Notamacropus eugenii: one gene and its partner. The protein of the gene in region 1 interacts with the protein of each later gene in a pairwise test. Links are inferred from orthologs where the notes say so. Each region holds a gene or a part of one and is shown in the gene's direction. Other genes may lie near its edges. The genes, in order: TMEM239 and CXCL16.

What was found.
Region 2: the proteins of TMEM239 (region 1) and CXCL16 interact in a two-hybrid assay, tested with the Homo sapiens proteins (2 studies listed by BioGRID). The two-hybrid records come from large-scale screens. The link is inferred for Notamacropus eugenii from reciprocal best matches to the Homo sapiens genes TMEM239 and CXCL16.

What each region holds. Positions count from the first base shown.
Region 1 is NC_092877.1:46,436,804-46,449,643, reverse strand, and holds TMEM239 (transmembrane protein 239), read left to right. Parts: upstream 1-6,377; 5' UTR 6,378-6,489; intron 6,490-9,318; 5' UTR 9,319-9,331; coding exon 9,332-9,820; 3' UTR 9,821-9,930; downstream 9,931-12,840. Other genes in the region: C6H20orf141 (uncharacterized protein C20orf141 homolog), read left to right, coding at 1,856-1,878, 4,743-4,976, 5,063-5,279.
Region 2 is NC_092873.1:79,119,238-79,131,540, reverse strand, and holds the start of CXCL16 (C-X-C motif chemokine 16), read left to right. Parts: upstream 1-7,601; 5' UTR 7,602-7,757; coding exon 7,758-7,854; intron 7,855-8,640; coding exon 8,641-8,773; intron 8,774-9,373; coding exon 9,374-9,456; intron 9,457-11,208; coding exon 11,209-11,720; 3' UTR 11,721-12,303. Other genes in the region: ZMYND15 (zinc finger MYND domain-containing protein 15), read right to left, coding at 275-333, 558-711, 915-1,013, 1,341-1,429, 1,620-1,736, 1,922-2,002, 2,691-2,843, 3,149-3,309 and 3 more. UniProt on the Homo sapiens protein: Acts as a scavenger receptor on macrophages, which specifically binds to OxLDL (oxidized low density lipoprotein), suggesting that it may be involved in pathophysiology such as atherogenesis. Induces a strong chemotactic response. Induces calcium mobilization.

The sequences.
Region 1 (12,840 bases):
TCAACCTTGATGACTATTTTGTGAATTCAAGAGCATCTGTGCCACTGAATTGATGCTAGCTGGTCACCACAGTTCTTGTAACTGCATAGCTTTTAGAGGAGGAGATGGCCACCAAACAAGAGGATGCTGCAACTGGAAAGTTTGTCAAAGTTCAAGGCAAGCTCAAACTGGCTGGGAGATCTGAATCTTATGAGTTATCTAGACAGTGCAGGCCTGAGGTGAAAGTGAAATAATCTTTTTTAGCAGTCTCGCAATGTTGTCTTTACCTTTTAGGAGAATGTCATGATGTTAACAGGTCTTTCTTGTTTAGTGTTTTAAGTTAATGCATACTTTGTGTATTTGTGTATATGTGTAGTTAAAGCATTTCTTTTGTGGTGGAGGAAATAAATAGCTTCCTATAGCTTATATCTGTTTTGAACATTGTGTATCTTTTCTGAAAAGAGAGACTGTTCATCAATTTGGGGAGGGAACATCAATGTACATTTTCTGAGAGAGGCTTCTATTAATCCCTTTTGTAGAGATCTGAGACATGAGACATACCTAGCCTTTGTGTTGAAGATTTTTTTCCCCATAGTCTTATTCTACAATCCAAAGACATCAAAAGAAACTTGATCTCCTGACTTTGCAGTTAAGCAAGCCCCACATTGAATCCAGGATCTGTGTGAGTACAGAGCCAGAGCACTCTGAATAATTACAACTCCATCAGAGTGGGATGGATTGTCTCCAGAGGTGAGTTCTTCCTTAGCCTTCAAGTAAAGACCAGATGACCAAATGTCTGACTCAGAGTGGAGGGAATTGTCTGGGCACAGGTAGAGTGAGATGGACCTGGAGGTCCTTTCCAGTTCTGAGAGTCTGAGGCTTATAGTGGTCCTAGTGTTTGATAAAGGCCCTAGGATTTTTTTTTTTTGATACCTTTGGCTTTTCATTAGTTATATTTTCCAATTATATCTCATCCCTATCCCCTCCTAGAGAGCCATCCCCTGTAGTGGTGTCATGAAATGAAGGATTACGAACATCACCTCTTATCTCCTCAGAGAAGGGGTTAATCATGCAAAAATTATATCTATCTTCTCCCTTAAATATTTTTAGTCTAGGGAAAATAATTTTTAAGTTCAAGCTGCACTCCTAATCACTATACCTTAATGTGAACAGAGTACCCCAAGCTACTTATCCAAGACTTGCTGATAAATATCAGTTCCACAATGAATTCTCATAGCAAACAGCAAATAAACCCATTGATCCAAGTGGATAGCAAAATAGAAATCAGAGAAAGTACACAAAGGACAATGTATACCAGACAATCCAGAGCAAATGAGTTCTCCTTTTGGGAGGGAGATCACTCAGCTCAATGAAGAGAGAAAAGGGCCAGATCTCAGCCAAGGGAAAATTCCCTGAAGTTTCCAGTATAGTAAGCTGGGAATAGGGACATGATCTAAGGGTCAACTCCTCTAATGTTGACTTCCTCCTACAGTCTTTCCTCCTTCAGAGACCTGAAGAGAGTTTGACATAAGAGTTTTCTCCTTTGAAGCTAGAAGCTAGAAGACTAGGTTCTCTCTTCTCTCCAGCTCTCAATTCCACCCCTTATTCAGGTGAGCAATGAGTCCCATGCAATGGTCCTTAGAACCAATGGTTACAAATGGAGCAAAAGGGATCAGGGAAATCTTTCTCTATACTTCCCCCTCTCTCCCACTACCCAGGGTTGGGCATCATTGCAGACCAAGCTAGTCCAAAGAGAGTTTGGTCACAGCTATTATGTGTATATGGGGCGGGGTTGGGGGGAAGATGACCTCTGCAGTAGCCCCTACTCCACAGGTCATAATGCCTTCCCTCTCCCCTAGCAGTTTATGTCCCCAGAATGGCAGGCCCGATAGGGAGGAGGTGAGGAGTGGGGAGGTTGGGGAGGGAGAAAAGGAACACAGGACTCCATAGTAATGACCATGTTCCATCAGAACTGGCCCAGAACGCTCTTTGCTCTCTGTACTTGGCAAGGAGCTCATCTGATGTCTCTAGGGCTGCCGGCAAACCAGGCCCCAGCTGTCTTGAGTTCATTGTCCTCTTCCTCATAACTTTAGGTCCTACCTTAACTGGGTTTTGACAATGACACTTCTGTCCCCCACTTCCTCCCCAGGGTTCTTATCTCCTCATCTCTGGTTAGCTCCTTCAGGACATCCTATTTCCTCCTATATTCCAAACTCCTTCTATCCCTGACTCTCCCCAGAAATGCTCCCCACAAGGTCTCTTAACTCTTTCTTGGGTCGCCAATTTCCCATTTCTCTCTCCCTCATCCCTGTGCCTCTATTCCTGTCTCCTAACCCTGTCTCCTCCATCTCCACCTCTCTACCCCTGCCTCCTCAGTCTCATTTGTCTATCTGTCTCTTCTCCAACCGTCTCCATAATTCCTTTCTCATCTGTCCCCCCCAGAATCATTTCTTTTATTATCTTCTCATCTCTGAGGCAGCCTACTATAATGGGCAAGACCCTGGACTTAAGCTTCAAAAGGACCTGATTCAAATCCTGCCTCAAACATTTACTAGTTGTATGACTTTGGGCAAATCATTATGCTTCATTTTCCTCATCTATAAAATAAGAGATTACACTCCATAACCTTTAAGGTTCCTTCTAACTATGAATCTATGATCTTCCCATCTCTGCCTTAATTTCCCCCTCATCCATTTCTCTTCCTCAAGTCACTATTTCTATCTCTACAATATCTGCATGATCCCCTCAGGCTTCTCAGCCACATTTTACATTATTATCTATCCCCCTCCTTCCAGATACCCTTTTCTCCCTTCTTTTCCGTGTTGCTGCTTTCTCCTGTCTTTTCTCCTTTCCCTCTGATCATTCCCTTGTCTCTGGCTTCATAAATAGAGGCTTACTATCTAGAACATGGGAGGCAAAAGCCCTTCCTGACAATGCCCTTGCCCATGATCATATCTGGAGTATTAGATTCAATTCTAAAGAACACATTTTGGGAAATGAGCCACTCACTGGCTCTACATCTTCCTTTCTCCTCTTACACTCAAGTCTTCCCCAGGATCCGGGGATCCCCTTAGCCCTCTTCTTTCTCTGTCTCTTCCTAGACATTTTCATCTACTTCTCTGGCTCCATTATTGTCATCTCTTCATAGATAACATGCATTTGTGCAGATGATACCCATATCTATAGTCATCCTTGAGAGCTCCCTTGAGCTCTAGTCCCGCTGGCAGAGACATTACTAGCAATTTTTGCCTTGAGAAAGTGTTATGAAATAGTATCAAATAAACTTTCTAAGACAAATTTGGTTATCAGGTGACAGATCTAGGATACTAAGAAGTTGTTGCTGAGGAGACCACTGCCTGAAGGGAAGGCTCATCTGAGATACAATAAGACCTAGTAAACTGGAGAAAGGGACCACCTGGTAACTTACTATTTTAAATCATGATTCTTACTAACAAGATACTAAGTACCATTGTTTCTATGCTCCTGAATGAATATAAACGCTGTCAGTGCCCTCTAAATATTGGCACCCTGGAGCAGAACTTCAGTCACCCTGCCCTAGTTACATATCTCTTCCTGTTGGACATCTTCCACAAAGTTGTTCTTGTAGCAAATCAAACTCAACCTTAACTCTAACGTTTTCCTCAAACCCTGCCCCAGCTCATTCCTCTCTAAGTGCACCATTGTTATCCAAGCAGTGTCAGAAAATGCGTGGAAAGGCATGATGGTGGCCTATCAGGAGAAGTCAAGCTCTTGTCCACAAATCCTCCATACGGACCTAGAAAATTCACCTCATTGAATCCTAAGGGAGAAACGTCTTTGGCTATAGTAGCTGTTCCCTCCAACTTACACCCCCTTGCCCCAGTTCTATTTCCTTCCTGCAAGACCCAACTCATGGGGCCTACCTAATCTCTTCTCCCTCATCCCTAGGAAAATGATTTCTTCCTCATCAAATTTCTCGTGTCACTTTGCCTGGACCTCTTAGGTCTTATCTACTCCTCCTTTAGACCATGGTTACTTGTATATATTTCCTATCTCCCCATTAGATTGTTATCTTCTTGGACCCATGATGAAAAATGTTCTCCACTCCCAGAGAGAGATCTGATGAATTCCAAGTGCAGACTGAAACATACTTTTTTTCACTTTCTTTGTGTTTCTTGCTTTTCTTTTTTTCAACATGGTTAATATGGAAACAGATTTGGCGCGATTTCACATGTATAATTGATGCCATATTGCTTGCCTTCTTAATGGGTGGAGAAGAAACAAGAGAGAGGGAGAGAATTTGAAACTACAATTATTTTTAAATAAATGTTAAAAATAATTTTTAGAAAAGATTATATGCTTCCTGAGGGCAGGGCACATGTCTTATCACCAGTGCTTCATGCAGCACTTTGTATATAGTGGGTGCTCTATCAGTATTTTTCTGTTAGATTGATTTGTTTCCTGTTTTCTCTCTCCTCCACTTCTCTTTCTCTTCGTCTGCATTCCTATCCCTATTCCCTCATTTTGGCCTGTTCCATTCCAAAGATCATGGCTTCCTGATAGGAACAAAAGAAGCAAAATAAGAACTGAGGAGTTCTTCTTCTCCTCTGTTGTCTGTTATTGCCTCTTTCTTTCTATGAATGTCTGACTTGTTCACCTCAGAATTTTCCCTAGTTCTTTGCTCCTGAATTTTCAACTTCCTAACATCTTTAAAAAAATAAAAAGGAATTCTTTTGTGTTCATCTTGCCTTACCCATCCCTATCTCTTATTTCTATTTCCCCAGGATCCCTGTCATTACAGATCGAATGGGCCGGGGCCTAGAAGCTGGCGAGGGTCCTGAGCTTTTGGAGGGCCATGGTATGCCTTTGAGGAGTTCACTCACACTCTTGGATGGGGCCCTGGGCGCCGGTATACTTGGACTTGGTGCTCGCCTTGTCCTGGCCCTGGCTGGACCAGGCATAGCTTTCCTGCTGCTGTTACTAATGATGAGTTTCCTGACTTTTGACCTAATGCATGGGTAAGCACACTGGATTCCTGGGTCTCTCTGCCCCAGAGAGGGTCTCTTTGGCCTAAGTCTCACCTTAGGTTCTCCTTTCCTTGTAGGACTCCGGAGTTGCCTTTGCCTCAAAGACCAATGTTTAGACCCCTTGGCCCAGGAGCAGGGGGCGAAGGCTCCAGCTTGCAAGAACCACTGCTCCCACCTGCCTTGAGCCAAGTCCTGGATGGATTCCTGCTCTTCACCCTTCTAGGGCTTATTTTTGGGGCCCTGATGCCCATCAGTATCTTCAGCCTTGTAGTCAGCCTAAAGGCTCTGGCCTGAAGCAAAGCCTCCGCTCTCCAGGAATCAGCAGGCTAAAAGATTCTCTTCACAGAAAATACATGAGGATTGCCCCAGCCTCTGCCTCTGAATTTCCTTTCTGGTTGTCTCTAGGCTAGGATGAGTGGTCTGGAAAGAAGACCCTAAATTATTCCAGGTCCCAGGGTTTGAAAAACCAATATAGAAGACTCTTAAGTCAGAGTAGACCCTATTCTACTCAGTAGCCTAAACCTTGGACCCTTAGATAAGTGTCTAACACCAATAGTGCTGTAAGGAGCCTATCTGATCCTTTCAGCCACACAATCAGAATCTTAGAATCTGTAGCTCAAAAGGGCCTTTAGAGATCATTTGATTCAATCCTCTCATTTTGTAAGGGAGCAAAGAAAGACCCAGGAAGGCAAAGAGGTCTATTCACCAGGACACAGGGAAAAAGTAGCAAAATTCCATGAATTTTAAGGGTCTAAGAGTTTGGGGTCATGGGTCATGGGGCAGAAGGTATAGCCCCCAATAACTTAAATCCTAGCAGAAGAATAGGAGGTTAGGGAGAACAGGGAGATGCAGAGGCCTGAGACAGCGCCGGCCTTGGTTTATGATCTCTGAGGAGGGAGGGTGTGGAAAGAGAATTCTATGGCAGGTTCAGGTTCAGCCTGCTGACTATATCAAGAAGGATGTAGGTCAGACCTTGGGCAGGCTTTTCAGCCAGGAGGCATTTAGAAACCAGGGAGTAGGGGAGACAGGGAAGAGGAGGCGAAATTCTTTTCCTTGGAGAACACAAAATCACAGAGCAAGTAAGGAGCATATTCATCTAGTCCAAACCTTTCATTTTACTAAGGGAGAAACTAAAGCTAGATCTTGGCTCAGAAAACCCCTTCTGTCTGGAGGTTCCTGACAGTTTGTGCCTTTGGTGGGCAAAAGACTCAAACTCTTTTTTTTTTTTTTAAAGATACTTTGTTTTGTTTTGCCAAAGAATGTTGGTTCCTGGACCCTAAATAAGGAAAGAGAAAAAAGACAAGGCCTAGAGCCTGGACTCCGGAGTCCAATGGGCTGGGTTCTCTTTGGCACTGTCCTACCCCTCCCCCAAAGCCCGGGTCACAATGAGGCCCCAGGGGTAGGGTGGAGATGGGGAGGCCGGGAGCCAGGTTGCAAGGATTCCTTCCCAGCTCTGTATAGGGAGCTGGCGGTGGCGACATGACCAAGGCTGCTGTGCTGGGAGGTAAGCCTAGCCCCACAATGGCTCTGGTGTATTTCTCCCTTTCCATTCCCTCTATGGTCTATCCCCTCTCCTCTCTCTTCACTCTTTTCTCCTTTTCTCTTTTCTGCCTCCTCCCTTGTCCTCTGTCTTGTGTCTTCCTGTCCCTTGCCTTGTTTTGCCATTGTCCCTTCCCGTCTAGACGAGAGGAATGCTGTAAGTATACAGATATATTTAGACTCCAGCAAAGTATTTGACAGTCTCTTATGGGACCCCTGGGGCCAACACAGAAAGAAGCTGCTAGGTGATAAAACTGGTGGATTCGGCAGGGGGAACCTTTGGTCATTCAGCAGTCCTTGTGGACTTGGGTTTCTATCTCCAGCCAAGTGCCCCAGGGATCTGTGCTATTTAACATTTTTATCAAATCTGATGATGTGTGAAGCTCAGAGAGATAGCTAACCTTGGGTGAGAAGGTCAGGACACACAGGACTCTAGGCAGTCCTAAGTGTGGGCCCAGATCTAAGCACACGGAATTTAATAAGAATAAACATAAAGTTCTACACATTAGGTTCGACACATCAGTTTCTTTAGTATAGGACAGGGGAGTAACGGCTAGATAGCTAACGTTCCATTGAATCCATCCTCATCAATGTGGATTGTCCCATGTTGGGACCCCATTAGGATCCATTCTCATCCATGTGTATGGATCACAAGTCATCCATGCATGCCTATCATAAAGAAAGGCTTCTTAAAATCAGGGCTATCCAGATGTGATGGTGAGTTCTAATCTGAAGTCTTCACGCAAAGGTTGAATGGATGGCCACTTGTCAGCCATGTTGTAGAGAGAATATTGTTCAGTACAGGTTGGAAGAGACACCCCCAAAGCCCCTTCTCACTCTTATATCCTATGATTCTGTCCCCTTCCCAACCCCATCTTCTATCTGTCAGGTTTACACTTCTTTTCTCTTGGTGGTTTCCTTTCTTCTCCCCTCTCTTGTTCACTCCCCTGATACCCATCTCTGCTATCCTCTCCTGGACCCACTTCCCTAGTTCTCAACCCTCCTGACTCCTCCCTTTCCTTTCTATGTCTTTGGTCCCTTCTTTGGTGCACTCTCCTACCTCCCATCTCTTCCCTTGTCTCCTTCCTTATTCTCTTCTGTCTCAACTTCTGTAATGAAATGCTGCTTTCTTAGAGTAGTTTAATCAGTTTCTAGGAACCCAAAACCCCACGATCCCTGGAGGAACAGCTAGTGGGTGGTTTATCCTGAGTCCTTGGGTTTTCCCTACATTTTGGCCTTTCAAGGAACAAAGCCCAATCAGAGTCTGACAAGTCATCAAGGAAAGAAGTATCAGAGCAAACCTATATTGAGAGGTAAAGGCAATGGCTAGACATTACATCCAGTCTACACTTGCTACCTCTCCCTAGCCTCTGTCTGTGAAATCCTTTTCTTTCATCTGCTTTCCCAGTCATCTGGGGCCTGGTTCCAAGTTTCTGCCAATACTTTAAGGATCTGTAGCTACTTTCTCTGCTGATATAGCTGATACAGACTGCAACCCAGACCTTAATAGACAGTCCCTTTAGACTGCTGTGTTCCCAAACATTCAAGCCCTGGCCAACCTTCTCAGGTGATGAGCCTCTCCACGGTTTGCTAGAGAGGGTTTGCTTTCTTCTTCTCTAGTCTTCCAGAGTCCTGGTTCACCTCCCTGATGGGACATTGGAGGAAAACTTCTGAACTCTCAACTAACCCCAGCAGCAACAGGGATGTAGGGTGGTTGCTCTAGGTTAGAAGTCTACAAAAGATGAAAAATCTCAGCCTTCAGCCTTGGTTTCTCAGGCTTCATTGACTCCTGCCTCAGAGGAAGAACCAGGGAACCTTTGCCCTGGAGCCCCAAAGCTTTTACTTTTCCCTCCTTTCCTCTTGCTTGATTCTCCCTAAGCTCTCTGATCCTCCTCTGTACACACAGACACACACACACACTCACAACACTACAGATTACACTTTAGATTTGCCTCCAAGTCTCTCCACTGACCAAATGTTTCTAAAGGTCCCCAAGTTAGAGATCTTGAACTTAGGGCTGGGTGGTTGGAGACAAGTAAGGTTCCAAGAAAGACCTGGGGATTTCTCATTCCCTGACCTCTAATGCCAACTGTTTCCAGGTGAGGATCCTGAGACCAGGTCATGTACAGGCCCTTTTTCCAAGCTTCCAGCCAGGGGCCAAATCATGACCTTTTCTTCACACCTGGGCTTGGCCACTAGCAGCTCTGCCCCAAGAGGTCCCAGCTCCCTCAGCCTCCTCTACCCTGGTGTGTCCAAGAAACTAATGAAACTTCTCCTCCCTCCTACTCCTCCAAGAAAGCAAGATTCCCCCCAGGGCATTTCATTACCAGAAAGTTCTTTCCCCTTTCCCTTTCCTATCTTCTCCTTTCTCTCTCTTCTCCTTCTTCCTGAACCTCACTACTTTGGGATCACTTCCTGTCACTCCCTGGATACTTTGGGACCATAAACCTCTCCCTAGAGGGTGCTTTAGGATCATTCCTTATGGCTTAGAATCAACCCCTTCCAGTCCCTTATTCCCCGAAGGCTTTAGAATCAAGCCCGCTCAAATTTAGAGACTCAGCTGTCACTCAGCTCTCCCTCAAGTTCTTTCAGACATGCCTCTTTCTTTACCATTCCCTTCCGGTAGGTGCTTTGAGATCCTCCCCAGGTACCTTGGCCTCATAACCTGCCCCTCTTGCTTTCATTCAGTTCCCTGATCTTTGGGAATCTGCTTCGCATAGATGCCTTCCGAACGCCGGTCTTCCTCACTAGGTGCTTGGGGGTCACAGCCCTTCCCATTACCACTCCCCCGCAGGTGCACCGGATCGATGCAGCGGGCCAGAACCGAGGGGTCAACGGACCAGGCGGGGGCGGGAGAAGGCTTGAGGAATAACTGGCGAAGCTGGGCTCTTTGGCGAATTTGGGATCAGTGGTGGGAGGGCCCAGGTGGAATTCGCCGACGTTTGCCATCTTGGTGTTCATCATCCTGCTGGTGGGTGCCTTTGCAGCGGGTCCTGTGGTTGCTTGAATCCAGCCTCTACCTGCTGCTGTCCCTGGGTCTGTGCCACGCCCTCTTCACCACAGGATGCCACCTACTACGCTCGCTCTGGCCCGTGGTGGCCACGATCTGGAAGCATCTACTGCCAGCCCTGCTGCTCATGGCCTTGAGTGCCCTGCCAGCCCTGCTCTTTGCTGCTTCCTTCCTACTGCTCCTCTCCACCCTACTCAGCCTGCTGGGGCTACTGACTGGCATGTCCCGGCCTGGACCTGTCATCAGCCTCAATGGCAGCCTCGACCCTGGCCCCAGATCCATCTAAGATAAGGGATCACCATCTGCCCCCTAACACTGCCCCCAATCCAGCCTTGGCCTTGAACCCGTCCTCAACCCTACCCAATACACGGGACGGGCTTTGCCCCCCTGCCACCGCCCTGGCCTGACTGTCTGCTCTGTCTAGGTTGGATTCAGAACTCCCCTGTTGCTCCCTTTCCTTCAGCTTCCTGCCTACTCTGGCCCAATCAAACCCAGGAATCCCCACCCTGTCCAGTCTCTAAGCCTAGGACCTATCCTGACTTCCTGGTCTTTTGAGTCTTAGAAGTCCTGACTTCCCTAGATTTTCATCCAATAACCCCATATCACTTTCACTGGACTCAGGAGTCCAGAGTCCTGAATTTGGAGTCAGAACACCTGGGTTTAAACCCTCTGTTCCTTACCTGTGTGACTTTACCTCCCTGGGCCCTGGATACCTTATCAGTAAAATAAGAAGGCTGGCCTAGGTGATCTCTAAGGTCCCTTCCAACCCTTAATTGTATGACACAATGACCTTTTCCCTTCCACATGGTCTCAGCTTATCTCAATTCAACTCAGAGATTCCCACCCTTTGGTCTGTGGCCTCCCACCTGAGCTACTCTCAGAAGCCTCTGATGAGGCTCTGGAGGGGCCAGCTGGGCTTTGGGTTAGATGGGAGAAAAGTTATTTCTGTCAAGGCATCCTCTTCTTCCCAGAGGCAAAGGTGAGGGAAGTAAAGGCTACAAGAAGGATGGGGCTCTAAGAAATCTGGACAGAACTGTGGCCCACCATATCCTTGTACACTGGACTTTCCCATTTAGAGTGAGAGTAAGTGGATATAAATGGATGCAACAACTTCAGGGCCCAATCCAGAGTCCCGTCCAGAACCTAACACTCCAGACTTGAGCGTGAGGAGTTGTGCATAATAGGCCAGTATGAGAAATGGGTATGACTCCAAGTATGATGGCCTGAGTAAGATAGTGTATGGGGATATATGGGGGGTGGGGTAGTTATGAGAAGCCAGGTGTGAGGGTTTACATACAATGGGAATGGTTATGAAGGGCCAAATTTAAGGAACTGGAAGAACCAAGTGGAAGCATGTTCTCCTGCTTCCTTTTATCAGCCTCCAAGTTGAGGTTACTCTGACCTCTGTATTTTTGTATTTCCTCCCCATGGCTCTTCTTTCCATGACATGTTTCAGGATTCTTGCCGATGGTCTTCAATCCCATATGAACTCCAGCTTTTGCCCTCATGTTCCCAACACCAACTCCAATGTAAGCTTAAATCTGAGCTCAGCTCTCCTGTTGGTTGCTGGGGAGATGGAGGAATCAGAAGCAAAGATAAAGAAAAGATGAAAAGAGATGAACCTGAGCTGGGAGAGGGGCAGTAAGGAGGAGTGCAAGGAGGGAAAGATACATAGCAGAATGGCTGGATGTACCAGATTTCACCAAGTTCCCCCAGAGAACTGATTAAAAAAGGCAGCTCTAAGAGGTACTCCCCCACGAATGAAAAGGAAGGGAGACTCCCTAGGCATTTTCCCCTAGTGCCTTACATTCTCTTGGTAATTTCAAGGTCATGATTACTCCAAGGCCAGTATGTGTGGTGTTGGCCTTGGCCATGTGAGAACCAAGAGGAGTAAGTCCCACTTCTCTGTTTGACAAATTCTTAGAATCCATAATAAAGTTTGGGGTCAGTGAATATAGAAATAAATGGTCCCATAGAGCAGGATGCTTATTGGCCCTTGAGGACTTACTTGGTGTCCTAATTTGGGTTTGAGCCAAGGCAGGCATCCACAATCAACACAGTTACTGATCAAAGTTATTGGAGAATACTACAAACACCTCAGTCTATCTCTAGAACTCTCAAATATTAGAGCTTAATTAAGTTGCAAAGCATGCTCTTAAGTACCTCTTGTGATGTTGTAACTCTTAGCTCTGCCCAGGACATGCCACCATCATTGGGCCATATATGGACCAGAAAGAGGATGTAAACACAAAGTAATTCCAAAAATTTAAAGTGCAGGTAGGGTACCTGAAGGAACAAGAATATTCCTAGGAATTGGCCAGGTCTGTGCCCTTGAGTGGAGATACACTGAGTCAAGAAACAATCTGTCTAAAGCCACTTCCGAAAGGTCTTTGTGGTTTTTGTCAGTCAAGTCCTCCAGGCCAGTGATCTGCAAGCTCATGTGATCATGGATCGGAATCTTGTTTGGGGAGGGAGGGCATGGGGAATTTTGCTTTTATAGCAGCTGTGGGCATTTGGGTCTCTGTTAGGCTATAACTTCCCTAGGAGGAGTCCAGCCACACAGCCTAGGAAGCCCTGGAGGAACAAATAAGGAAAGACATTGAGATGAGTGACAGGGTTGTTATAGTTATGTTGGAGACAAGCCCATGACAAACCGGAAGGGAAGATGAGATGCAATCCATCTTCTTACCCATTGGTTAATGGATATTGACATCCTTTGGAGTCATGCCATGGTCTCCCACTTTGTAGACAACTGCTCTAGACCACTACAGAAGTCATGTGTTTCAATCAAGAAGGCATTTCTCCATGGTCTTTAAGAGCTTTGAGATGAGTCAGTGATCTCAGAGACAGAATAGGAGCTATGGACATCATGGACTTGGAGCTTCCAACATTTCTCCAGGGAGGTGCTGTTTGGTGCAGTACAGAGAATCTTCTGGATTTTATTGGTAGGCAGTAGCATGTTGCAAACCTGGCTGATCCAAGGACCAGAAGGGTCAGCACAGAAGGAAATCACTTTAGGTCCTGGTCAAAGAAAACAAAGTCCATGAAAGTAGCTTCAGGTTCCTTTACACTTATTAACCATCTGTTTTATGAAGAGGACTATGTTAGACCCTGAGGATGGTACAAAGTTTAGATTAAAAAAAATGGAACTTATCGTCTAATGAGGAAGACCCCAAATTTAATTATAAATAGCTATAATACACAATATTAAATGATGAGAGCATGAGGATGCTGGGAAATGCTATGAAAAAGTCACCAGTGGGGAATCAAGGTGGAGGATCAGTCTAGTAACAACAGGAAAACAAG
Region 2 (12,303 bases), on another chromosome or scaffold:
TTTTAAGCCTTCCCAAATGGGGAATATCACCACCCCCCAGAGATCCTTACCAAAGGGAAAAAAAAGAAGAGGATAGGGGCAAAAAAACTTCACTCTATGTCCACACTGGAGAATTAGAGGAGGGGAAAATATCTAAGATAAAGGGGAAGATGATAGAAGACACCTTAAAGATATCCAGAGCGAAAAGGTAGATAAGGGTGGTCAGTAATAGAAGAAGGAAGAAGGGATAGTCCCATTGCCCCTCTCCCCCTCCTTTCCTTTCCACTCCCCATACCTGTAATCGAGGTAGAGAACTCAACCAGGTGTCCTTGAGACCAAAGCCAGAGTTAAATCCTGAGGAGGAGGCAGAAGAGAGAGAGTCAAGAGAGTACTCTAGCTCCCTTCTCCCCTACACTCTTTCTCTCTCTCTCTCTCTCTCTCTCTCTCTCTCTCTCTCTCTCTCTCTCTCTCTCACACACACACACACACACACACACACACACACACACACACACACACACACACACACACACACACATATACACACACACACATACACACTCATTTGGGCCTCTCACCAATCACCAGGTCAGGCTTGGGTCCCTGAAGTAAGTGGTAGGGCCGGGCAGAAACCTTGATCTGAAGATCCCTACGGCTTCCCTTCTCTTTAGCTCCTGAGCCTGGACGCACAGATACCCCAGATCCTGGACGGACAGATACTCCTGACCCATCCTGATGGAAGGAGATGAGGGAGAGCTTGGGGCAAGGATTTTTGGATATGGATTAAGAGAGGAAGAAATGAAAGTGAGAGAAAAGATTAGTTACGGGAAAGAAGAGCACAGGCTTTTCTGTGGCTGTGGTGGGGCAGAGGCTATATCTGGACTGTGTCTGATCCTCTTGATCAGGGTAACTCTCTCCCCCCAGGACCATCATACCCTCTGAAGGGTAAAATGTTGCTGGTCATTCTCAGGAGGCAAAGCACCACCTACAAACTGCAGCTCCAGGGCCACATGAGGAAGTAGAACAGAGAGCTCCTAGGTAGAAGAATGGGGAATGTCACAGCTGACTGCCCCTCCCCCAACCACCACAACACCCTTGTCCTCTCCCCACCTCCATCCAGTTCAGTTCCTTCTGAATGCCCTAGGTATCTGCCTCCTCAACTTCCCTTCTTGATCCTAAGGGATAATGGTCAAATATTCCTACCCCTTTTCCAAGACCCCCAGGTGTCTTTTTTTTTTTTAGCTTACTCTCAACAAAGACTCCAATCATTCAGCCTCCCAGAACCTCCCTCTTCAGGGACAGCCATCTGCCTAGTCCCACCTAGTCCCATCCACCCCATCCACTTTCTTCTTGGGTCTCACCCAAAACACCATGATGAGATCAAACTCCTTCCCAGCCTCTACCACATGGATTTTCAAGGACTGTTTGTTCTGGATGTTCAGCTCTGGGACTAGGGGTATATGTGGAAGGGGAGAAAGGGAGGGACAATTTATTAAACCGATAATCCCTTAACCCTGTCCCACTTTTCAGCCCTCTGGTTCCCTACCTTTTCTTACCTCAGTCTGACCCCAGCCCTCTCCACTGTTTCCCCCACCTGTAGTCCCTCCCAACTCCACCCATCTTTTCTGTTCCTTTCTTACAAGATTGGGGCACCAGATGGGTTATAACATAGTAAACAGTCAGTGGGTAGGTAAGGAGAACAGCCAAGGGAGAGTCCAGGCCCAAGCCACGCCATGCATAGTAATCTTGCCAGGAACCTGGTGGTGGTGGGGAGATGAGGAGGAGTGAATGGATAGGTAGATGAAGGCTTGTTCCCTTTCTACACACTCCTCCCCACTAGAGTACTCATTGTTCTTAGGGACTCAGACAGCAAGACCTCTGGCTCCTGTCTTCTCCATCTTCCTTCCTCCTTTCAGAGGTGAAGGTATTTAATTCTCCTTACCAAAAGGGCCTCGAGGTGGATCAGGAGGCACTGGAGGCATCAAGGGGGGTCCATCTCCCTGAAGTAACTGATAAGGATCTCCTGAGAGAAGAGGTAGGTAGGAATGAAGGAGGGATCCCTATTAGCCTCGCCCTCCTTATCCCTTGGAGGCAGGGGAACTCTAGGCTGGTGTCTCTAGATCTGAGAGGAGGGAGAGGGACTCTGATGAATCATCATCACAGAGGAGCTGATCTGAAATTACACTTCGAGGCATGTGAATAGGAACCAGGAGGTGGGAAAGGGGCATAGGGGAGGAAGTGACTAAGGGGGAGAAGGTGCTGGCTTGTAGAGATACCTGGGGACAGAATGGCCTTGAGGTGGCCCTTGTTTGTGTACATATATGTGCTTCAAGTGGATTTGGAGGGAAGCTAAGACATTTTCTTGGAACTCCTCTCCCTTCCCCTTTGGTGTGTGATCTACCCCACCCCCATTAAAATGTCAGCTCCTTGAGGGCAGGGAATAGTCTTTCTTTTGGCTCTGATTTGTATTCCCAGCCTTAGTACAATGCCTGGCACTTAGTAAGAACTTAATAAATGCTTGTTGCCTGTTATGTAGGACATCCTCTGGCTCTGCCTCCATCACCTCCCTGTAATCCCCTCCCACATTTCTGTGGTTGTATCCCCTATAGCCTTTGGAACAGGATAACTAGAAGCAAGGCTGGGAGGAGGTGATAGGAAAGAATGGGACACAACACTCCCCCCCCCCAAGCCTCCCAGGATGCCCTACTAACCACTGAGGAGGAGGCTGAGGGGAGGCCCATTGCCTGGGGGGTATCCTGGGGCAACAGGACCTGGGAGGAGCATGCTGAGTTGAGTCCAGTACCCTCGTGTAAGGCCTCGGGAGGCCAGGAATGCCTCCTTGTTAAACATCTCGCTTGTTACCTCTGGAGGAGCAGAGATGGAGGTCAGGGTCCAGATATTTGTCTTCCTGGTCCCAGGAAGTCCCAGGTCCCAATTTTGACACACTAACCCAGATGCTAGTGTTTTGTACCTGAGTGCCCACCCAAGACACCCCTCTTCTGGCCTCCAGCCTCAGAGTATCCCCTTTTTCTCCCCACCAACCCTCCATCATTTTATTTTAGGGGCCCAGCATCTTTTTCCTTTCCCAGTTCCTTGGTCCTTTCCATACTCTCTAAAGGCCTAGTTCTTGGTCCCCCAGGCCCCTCAGGGGCTCAGGTATTTCTGGTACCAGCAGTGTAGGTGAAGGGCAAGGCTGCCAGCTCCCCAGCCCGCCCCATGAAAGCTGCAAGTCTTGGGCACCAGAATCGATGGCTCACATCATCTGGCCTGCGTCGCCAGTCAGCCCAGACACAGGTTTCCCCACAGTACAGGACTGCACCACACTGGGGGCTGGAGGAAATAGGACCAAGGGTAGAAGAGTTATGGGGAAGGACAAGACAGATAGCCTAACATACCTGTCCCTCTCCACCTTCAGTGTCTAACTCCTACTCATGACATCTGCTCACCAGGGCATCAGCTTCACTTCAAAACTGTGTCTGTGACACACATGGCAGGCACGGGCACGGAGAGAGGCAAAAGTGAAGCCAGGACGGGGGCCCCACGTCCTCATTGGGGCTTTGGCTAGCTTCACCCCAAGCCTTGGGACCAAGCTTTCTAGTTCCCTGGATAGATAGGAAGATGAACTTCAGCATGAGGCCCCAGCCCTCCCCCCATCAGGAGCTGAGGCATGCAGCATCCAGGTCCCAAGCTCCCTTTTCAGTCCCTATATTCCTTAGGGACACAGGTATACACACCCTCCATACCCTTCTGAAACCAATGCATTTAGGACCCCATGTTTCCCCTTTCTCCTTCCTCTGCCATTTTCCACACCCTTTTGGGACCCACATCTCTGTACCGATGTAGCTGGGGGTCTCCCACTGTGAGCTGTCGAGGTCTTCTAGGGTCTCCAGCTCCCATGGGGCAGGCCATACTGTGGCAGAGGAGAGTATAAGCTCTTTGGGCCAGGCCCTCAGCCCCAGTGACTCTGCCTCCACTCCCTTGGGGTCCACCCATGAGGAGGTCAATGCCCAGGATAGTGCCATGTTCATCGGTCACCAGAAGTAGGCAGGCCAGGTGTAGGGGGGCAGCATCTGAGAAAAGAGGGGAGAAGTCAGATGAAAGGGAAGGAGAGTTGAGGTTCAAGGAAAGGTAGAGCAGATAGAGGTAGGGGTAGGGGTTCAGGGAAGAGGGGGAGCCTGAGAAGAGTTTTCCCATATATAGGGTAAATTCAGTGGAGTTGGGAGTGGGATTGTCCATACTCATCCCCTACCCCACACATCTTGCACATTTAAATCTCTTTGAATTCAACTGGAAATATTAAGAAATACATTTTTCTCCAGGCTAGTCCTTTTCAGATTTACCACAAGGAAGAAAATTTTATCACTACTTAAACTCCTCAGGAAATAATGACCTCCGCTAAAAACCTTTCTCCCCTTTCTCTTAAGCCCAATCTTTTTCTTTTAGGAAAATGTGAAAAGGATAGAGAAAGAAAGCTAAAGGTCCCAGAAAATGGGTTAAGGATGGTCACCATTTTTAGGAAAAATATCTCAGATCTAGTAAAGAACATTGCTTCCTCCCCATCCCCTGAAGAGATCAGAGTAATGCCCCACTTAAGGACACTACTCTTGGTGTCCATTATCCCAAAAGCGATAAGGGAATCTATCCAAGGAAGAGATCTTTTTTGTTTGCTTTAGGTAACCTGGGACAAGCAGGGGGGAGAGATCTTGAGGAAAGTGATTGTTTCAATTCTCCAAGAACTTTCCTGAAAGATTAAGTAACTATTTTTCTATTTGTTGATATGAAATGTTAACCCATTTTAAATTTAACTACATTTTTTTCATATTGTAAAATGCTCCTCATTCAGGATTCACATAAGTGTTACTTCAAAATATCTTCTATTGGAGAGAAATGTCCAAGGGCATAAGAGAACTATGTCAATGTGAATATTTCTCTCTCCAAGCAGAATAGAGCAAAGATAGGAAAAGAGCCACTCTTGGTGGAAAGTGAATAGTTGGATCAAAACTGGAAGTGAGGTGGTATTTGGGTCTCTCACCACCTCTCTTTCCCTTTCTCTTCTCTGGCCCCATTTCCTCCTCTCCTCCATCCTCTCTGGTGTCCCCTCCGCTGCTGTCCTCTCCTGCCTCTTCCTCAGCATCTTCCAGTTCCCTAGGTGTCTCAGCATCCTGGGTAGGCTCCCGGCTGGTGGTGGCCTGCTCTCCTTCCTCCTCCAGTTCACCTTCTTCTCCACCTGCACCTTCCTCCTCCCCATCTTCTTCTTCCTCTCCATCTTCAAGGCTAACAAAGCTAACATAGGGACTGAGGTCTCTGAGGCAGAGAGGGGGCTCATCTCCCAAAAGACGGGCAGCACCCAGGCCTGGTCCAGGTCCCTGCTTAGCACCTTGCCCCAGGCTGATACCCACACTACGGTTGGGCAAGATGTGAAGGACCCAGAGGGCAGGGTCTGAGGGCAACCGTCTCACCTGGGCTTCCATCAACCTTGATCGACCCTCAGGCCCATGCCCCCCACCCACCCCAGTTCCACGCTCTGAGGCAAACTTGCGGAACCAGACAAATAGAAGGGCAGCAAAGTCGAGGAACTCATCCCGATAACCAGATACAAACTCCATGATTTCTAGGCGAGCAAAGGAGTTGAGTCACAGAGAAAGGAAAGGAGCACAGGAACCTCATGTGAGGGACTGGAGTTAGGGCAGGAAAGGATGGGGTGAAGATAAGGAAGTGAGGACTATGATTTAGGGCTGAGTTGGGCTCTTTAGGGTTAAAACTAAAGAGTGGATAGGGAAGAAGGCCATGGATAGGGTCTTGTGGATAGTGGCTGAAGAGGCAAGGGCAGAAGGAGGAGTTAAGGAAGGAGGGCTATGGTTTAGCGTTAGACTAAATGGGTTACCATTCAGAGTTGGGCGTGGAGGCTGTAAATAAGGGAATATTAGCTGTTGAGAATAGGGAATAGGAGCTGGAGATAGAGGTTAACAGGGATTGAGTCAAAACCAGAAAGTGAATCTGGGATGGAGATTATTTCAGTTGGGGTTGAGTTTTTTTGTTTGTGGGAGGAAAACTGGGACATCACCAGTAAAGAAAGGTGAATTTCATAACGGCTTAAAATCAGAAAATAAAAGGAAAAGGGCCAGGTTGCCCATGGTCTAGGTCAGATTTGGGTTGGATGGGTATGTATATGCTTGAGGGGCTCTATCTTTCCATTTCAATTTCTCCTCCACCCTGTCTCCCTTACCTGCAGCGGCCGTCTCTGTTCGAAGGTAAATACTGTGGCAGCGTGGGGGAGGGCTGTGACATCACCTCCCCCCCCCCACCCCCACAACCTAGACCTGGCACTCTCGCGCAGAACGCCCCACCCCCATTCAGAGGCTAGACTCCCGCTACAGCCGAGTCCGGAATCTTCGTGCGCCAACACTCAAGTACCTTTGCTTCTTTTTTCATTTTTAAAAATGTCTTATGAACGCACTATTTTCTACACAATACATAACAGTAGCCTCCCTTTTCCCCTTGCACTATCCCTTCTTAACATTGCAAAAAAGAACCAAACCACCCAACAGTCAACCAAAAGCGTTTGATCCCATAACTTTGATTGAGTTTGTAACATTCTGCACTTACAGCCCTCCAATCCTCTACCAAGAGGAAAGTAGAGTGTTCCGTCATTCGTTATCTGTAACTAATATCGGCCTTTAATAATATTGACATTTGATCATTAGCAATCACTGCATATATTATTGTTTGGGGTCTGCTTTCTTTTTATCTGCGGGTTCATACATGTCTCCCCAAATTTCTGAGGATCTCATATTTATCCTTACTCAAGGCACAATACTTTTATATTCATATACCACCTTTACAAATATTCCCCTAATCAATGAACACCTACTTTGTTTACAAGTTTTTGCTACCACAAGGGGGGCTGTTATGAATATTGATACATATGGACTCTTTCGGTCTTTGACTAGTAGTGGAGTCGCTGGGTCAGAGGGCATATATACTGAGTTCAGTGACCTCTCATGTGATTCCGAATTGTTTTCCAGAATGACTAATAAGCTAATTCCCAGATGAAGCAACTAACTTGCAGTATAGCAACCCTTTCACACTATTTCCATCTTTAACCGTCTTTGCCTAGCTGAGAAATGTAAGGGGACACTTCAAAGTTCCTTCGTAGTTGTCTCTTCTCTCAGGGAAGCAGCTAAATTCTGAATCTGTATTTCTTCTCCCCAGTCTTGTGAGCGCTTGTTTACTGGCGCCTACCACAGAAAAAAGGGGAAGTGAAAGTACCTTGGGTCACCAGGCTCTGTCTGCAAAGAATCCCAGACTCCTTGTGGCACCCCTTCGATGCCCCTACTCCCTGCCCTAGCCATCTTTCCAGGCACTCCAGTCACAAACTTGGGGAAAACAGTGGGAATTTTCCGGGCTGTGCAACACCAAGTTTCGGCTCCATCGGAGTCGATTTCCATTTCTTTGCCTGTCCCTGGATGTTTGTGTTTCCTTTGCTTCTCAAAATCTGTCTGCCTTGTGGTATTTCCTGCCCTCCCACGCCATCCTCTTCCTAGTTTGGGAGGCAGATATCGTCACTTTTTTTCCCCACCTTCTACTGAAACCAAAAAGGATTCAATACCCCAGCCTTACTGAAATACAGGCGACTTTTAAGTCAGAGCTTTTTTTCTCTGAACTTTTCCTCTGGAGAGCCAGTCACTGAACGTTTCCGGAAGCGGGGACCAGTGAGAGATAACCTATTGGTTCCACACCCTTCAGTACTAGCCCAGTCGTTTGGGAAGCCAGAGCTCATGCCTGGTAGCTCTGAGGTAGCCGTAGCTGGGCACCGGAGCATGAGCGGATTCTGCACAGTTTCGTTGGTCTTGTTTCTGAAGCTGATCCAAGGAGGTTTGAGGGGATGGCGAATGGCTCGGGTCCATTTCGGGGACGTAGAGTTCATGGATTGAAAAACGAAGTGGGAACGAGAGGGAAAGGAGGAATTGCCGGGAGATTGAAGTGCCCTCGTAATTTGGGGTCGGACCCCAAGTTGGACATTTTGAAGTCCAAGGGGAAGGGCTCATGAGGGGGCGACCTACCGAGCTCCTATAGGCAGAGGAGCAGGAATTAGCATACCTATTGTGGCTGGTGCGGAGGCAAAAAGTAGTGTATGGTGCTAGGACTAGGGCGGGGCCGGGAAAAGAGAGAGAAAGAGAGAGAAAGAGAGAGAGAGAGAGAGAGAGAGGGAGGGAGGGAGGGAGGGGGAGGGGGAGAGGGAGGGAGAGAGAGAGAGAGAGAGAGAGAGAGAGAGAGAGAGAGAGAGAGAGAGAGAGAGTGAGTGTGAGAGTGTGTGAGTGTGTGAGTGTGTGAGTGTGTGTGAGAATGTGTGTGTGAGTGACTGAGAATGCGAGTGTGTGTGAGAATGTGAGTGTGAGTGTGAGCGAGAGTGAGAATGTGAATGTGTGTGTGTGAGTGAGAGAGAGAATGTGAGAGTGTGTGTGTGTGAGAGTGTGTGTGTGTTGGGAGAGGGGAATATCCTCAGCTTCGGTGTTCTTCCAGGTTACTGGTGTTGATTAGCAGGATACTTGAATTCTGGGGATGGATACACTGGGATGTGGCTGGTTGTGGTCCCTGTGGAAGGAGCTGGAGAAGTGACTGTCACGTACCTGCGTCGTTACTATTCTCTCTCTCCTTTAGTTATTGGAAATCAGGGCAGCATTGCAGGAAGCTGCCCTTGTGACTCGAAGCTACCTGATTCCCCGAGTCCTGCACTGTGGCAATTACTCACTACTAATCTACAGGGATATGAAAGTTGCCACAAATATATAAGGTAGGACCCACCCTATCCCCCACTTTCCTCCCCATCCCCAACTGCTTGCTTGCTTCCAACACACCTTTCCTGGCTGTGTATTTATTTCCAGGAATCCATAGTCCCCAGGGCTTAGGCTCTCTTAAACTCTGCCCTGCCCCTGTCTAGGTAAAGTTTACCTTGCCCAGTAGCTGGGGAATTCCAAGCTGTTTCATTGCTTAGGAATGAGGAAGGTAATTTGGAACTGAAAGTGAAAAAATAAATGTAAAAATGAAAACAGTTATAAATATCTATTTTTTCAGATCTAGAAAAATTGAGCCATATTATATATACAGTTGAATTTTTAAGATGTCAGAAAATAATCAAGTTGATCATTTCTCAATGTGTTTTGTGACCATATTGATATTTCTTTCCCCTATATTAAAGTCCTTTCACCTCTATGTAACTAGCAAAAACTTTAAGTTTCCACAGTGATTTCAGGAAATAAAAATTTTTCTTAAAAAAAAAAAAAAGTAATGAGGAAGGGTCAACTGAGCTAGATTTCTAGCAGTGTAAAAAGGGGAAAAGTGAAACTTCAGAATTGGGAACTGAGGCAGTACACCTTCTGCAATTCCTAACCAGGTTCCACCTGCCCAGAAAAACTCTGTGTTCAAGCTTCAAAAACACCTGGGGCCAGAGGCTAAGGACTTGTTTCGACAACCATGGTGAGAGTCCATCTTCCCCCCTTTTCCCATTATTAACATTATTTCTCTTCAGCTTTTTCTTTATTATGTATTCTAATTTTCAAAGAGTTCCATCACCTCTTGACCTCAGTTCTTTCTTTTCTTCCCATCAGTTAACTATTCCCTCAGCTTCCCCTTTCCTGTGTCTTCCTTTCTGCCTCCTCCCAAGCTATTTATCTTCCTTCCATTCTCTCCTCTTATCAGTTAAATTTAATAAACATTTGCTGAGCAATTCAACAAGCATTTACTGAAACCCTACCATGTACCAGGCGCTATGATTGAGGAGACAAAAAATGAAACAGTCCTTGGACTTACATTCTACTGGTGGAAACAATATTCGGAATATAAAAAAATTTTAGGGGAGAAGGCACTAACAACTGGGCTGATCAGGAAAGTGGGCAACTGAGGTGGTTTTTGAAGGAAGTTAGGCAGAGATATGGGCAGCTAAGAGGCACTGCAGGTAGAGTGCCAGGCCTGGATTCAGGAAGACTTCTCTTCCTGAGTTCAAATCCAGCCTCAAGGCACTTACTAGCTGTATGACCCTGGGCAAATCACTTTACCCCATTTGCCTCAGTTTCCTCTTCTGGAGCTGGAGATGGCAATGGCAAACTACTTCAGTACTTCTGCCAAGAAGACCTCAAATAGGATAACAAAGAATTGGACACAAATGAAAAAAACTACTGACTGAGGACTGAGATAAAAGTTTGGAGTTCAAAAAAGAGGTGAGGGCTGGTTTAACAGATCTGGAAATCATCTGAACAGAGATAATAAATTATCCTATGGTAGCTGATTAGATTAAAGTAAGAGAGACAGAGAAAAAGAAGAGGGAAGAGGACAGAGCCATAGGGGTACATCAAGGCAAAGGAGAAGGGACATAGATGATGATCCAACAAAGGAAAATGAGGCACAATCACCTAGTCACAGGAGAATAAGGAAAGCATAAAAACCCAGGGAGAAGAGGGTACTATCAGTGATTCCAACAGTGCCAAATGTTGAATAGGTCAGGAAGGATAAGGACTAAAAAAAAAGCCCTTAGATTTAGCAGTTAAGAGATTGTGGGCGACATGGAAAGATTTACATGATTCGATGAAGAGTGAAGTAAAATAAAAAATCGATATATAATATATAATGATTACGACGATGCAAATGAAAGGAATCACCAAAAAAAAATCAAAAGGGATTGTTGCAAATGGCTCCAAAGAAAAGACATGACGTACTCCTATTCCTCTGCAGATGTGGAAGATCCACAGATGTAAAATATAGTATATATTTTTAGCCTAGTTTGGTTTGCTGATTTTTTTCCTCTTCTTTATCTTAAAAAAAAAATGTTATTTCTTATGTGGAACAGCTCTCTAGGAGGGAGAGGGGAAATACTGGGAGAAATTCTGAGAATGTAAAAAACAAAAGATAGCAATAACATTTATTTTTTAAAAAACTGGGGGAAAAAATAATATTAGCTCTTTTAGTATAAGTTTTTGCTTTTTATTGTATCTCCAAGCTTAGCACAGCTCCTTACATAGTAAACTCTTAATAAATGCTTGTTGATTGGGGAGGAAAAAGATGGTTGGCAAGATTGGATTAAGTAGTTATATTCTTTACATCTATCCCCTCTTTTAAGTCTTCTACTTAACTCTCTTACCCACCCCTCTCTCTCTACTAGATCTTTCACTTTAATTCCCTATTTCTTCATGTTTCTCTCCAGCTCGTCAGATTTCTCTCATCTTGTTTTCCCAGAATGTGGAATCGCCAAGACATACAAATCTGGATATCAGGGCACCCAGGATAATTACCTTACTACCACGATCCAAAGCCTGACAGGACTAAACCGATTACTCCCATTCACCACCACCGAACCATCCTCCCAGACCAACCAGTCAACAAATACCCAGTCTAGAGAAATGGGGAATAGATATCTCAATGACACCACCAGTGCTCCTCTGGAGAACAGCAGCATGGCAAACATGAAGGGGGAAGCCAAAAAGGGACAAATGGACCAGATGGGTACCTCTGCCACCATACCTATTTTGTGCCTACTTGGGATTGTCTTTGGTCTTACTGGAGTTCTTGCTTATGTCTGGTGTCGGAAACAAGAACCTCCAAAGAGGAACCCCAAAGGTAAACATGGGATCCATGTGTTTTGGTCCCATAAATCTCAGTTGCATCAAGGACCAAGCGAATCTGCCCTTCTAGATTCAGCTCCCTTTTCAGCCCCTGATCCTTCTCAGAGGGTGCCTAGTATACTATAAAAAGCACTGCATTTAGAGTTGGAGGATCTGGGTTCAAATCCTGACTCTGCCATTATATGACTTTAGATCTCCATTTCCTCATCTGTAAAATAAGGGCCTTGGATTAGACGACCTCTAATGTCCCTTCTAGCTCATATAATGCTATGAAATAATTTTCTCTTTCTGGGTCTTATTCTCGTCTGTACAGCAAAGGGTTTAAAGACCCTTCCAAATCAAAATCCTATAATCTAAGTGGCAGAATCAGGAGCTGAAGCCAGATTTTCTGACTCAGAGTACAGTGCTCTATCCATTATACCACAGTCTCCTATCCAATCACTTTACAGAAGAGGAAACAGAGTTTTAAGACTCAATTGAGATCATCCTTACTGATGAAGGAGCACCTAAGCTGGTTAGTGGCAGAGTTAGGTCTGTGACTATGGTCTTCTCACTTGAATTTATGGCTTTATCTTGAGTGGCACTACAATCACCACATGCTGAGTGCCTACTGTATGCAGAGCACCATTTGGACCCCTGAGAACTTAAAGAAGCCACAAGACAGTATTTGATTTTGAGAGGCTTACTATCTGAGCAAACAGAAGATATC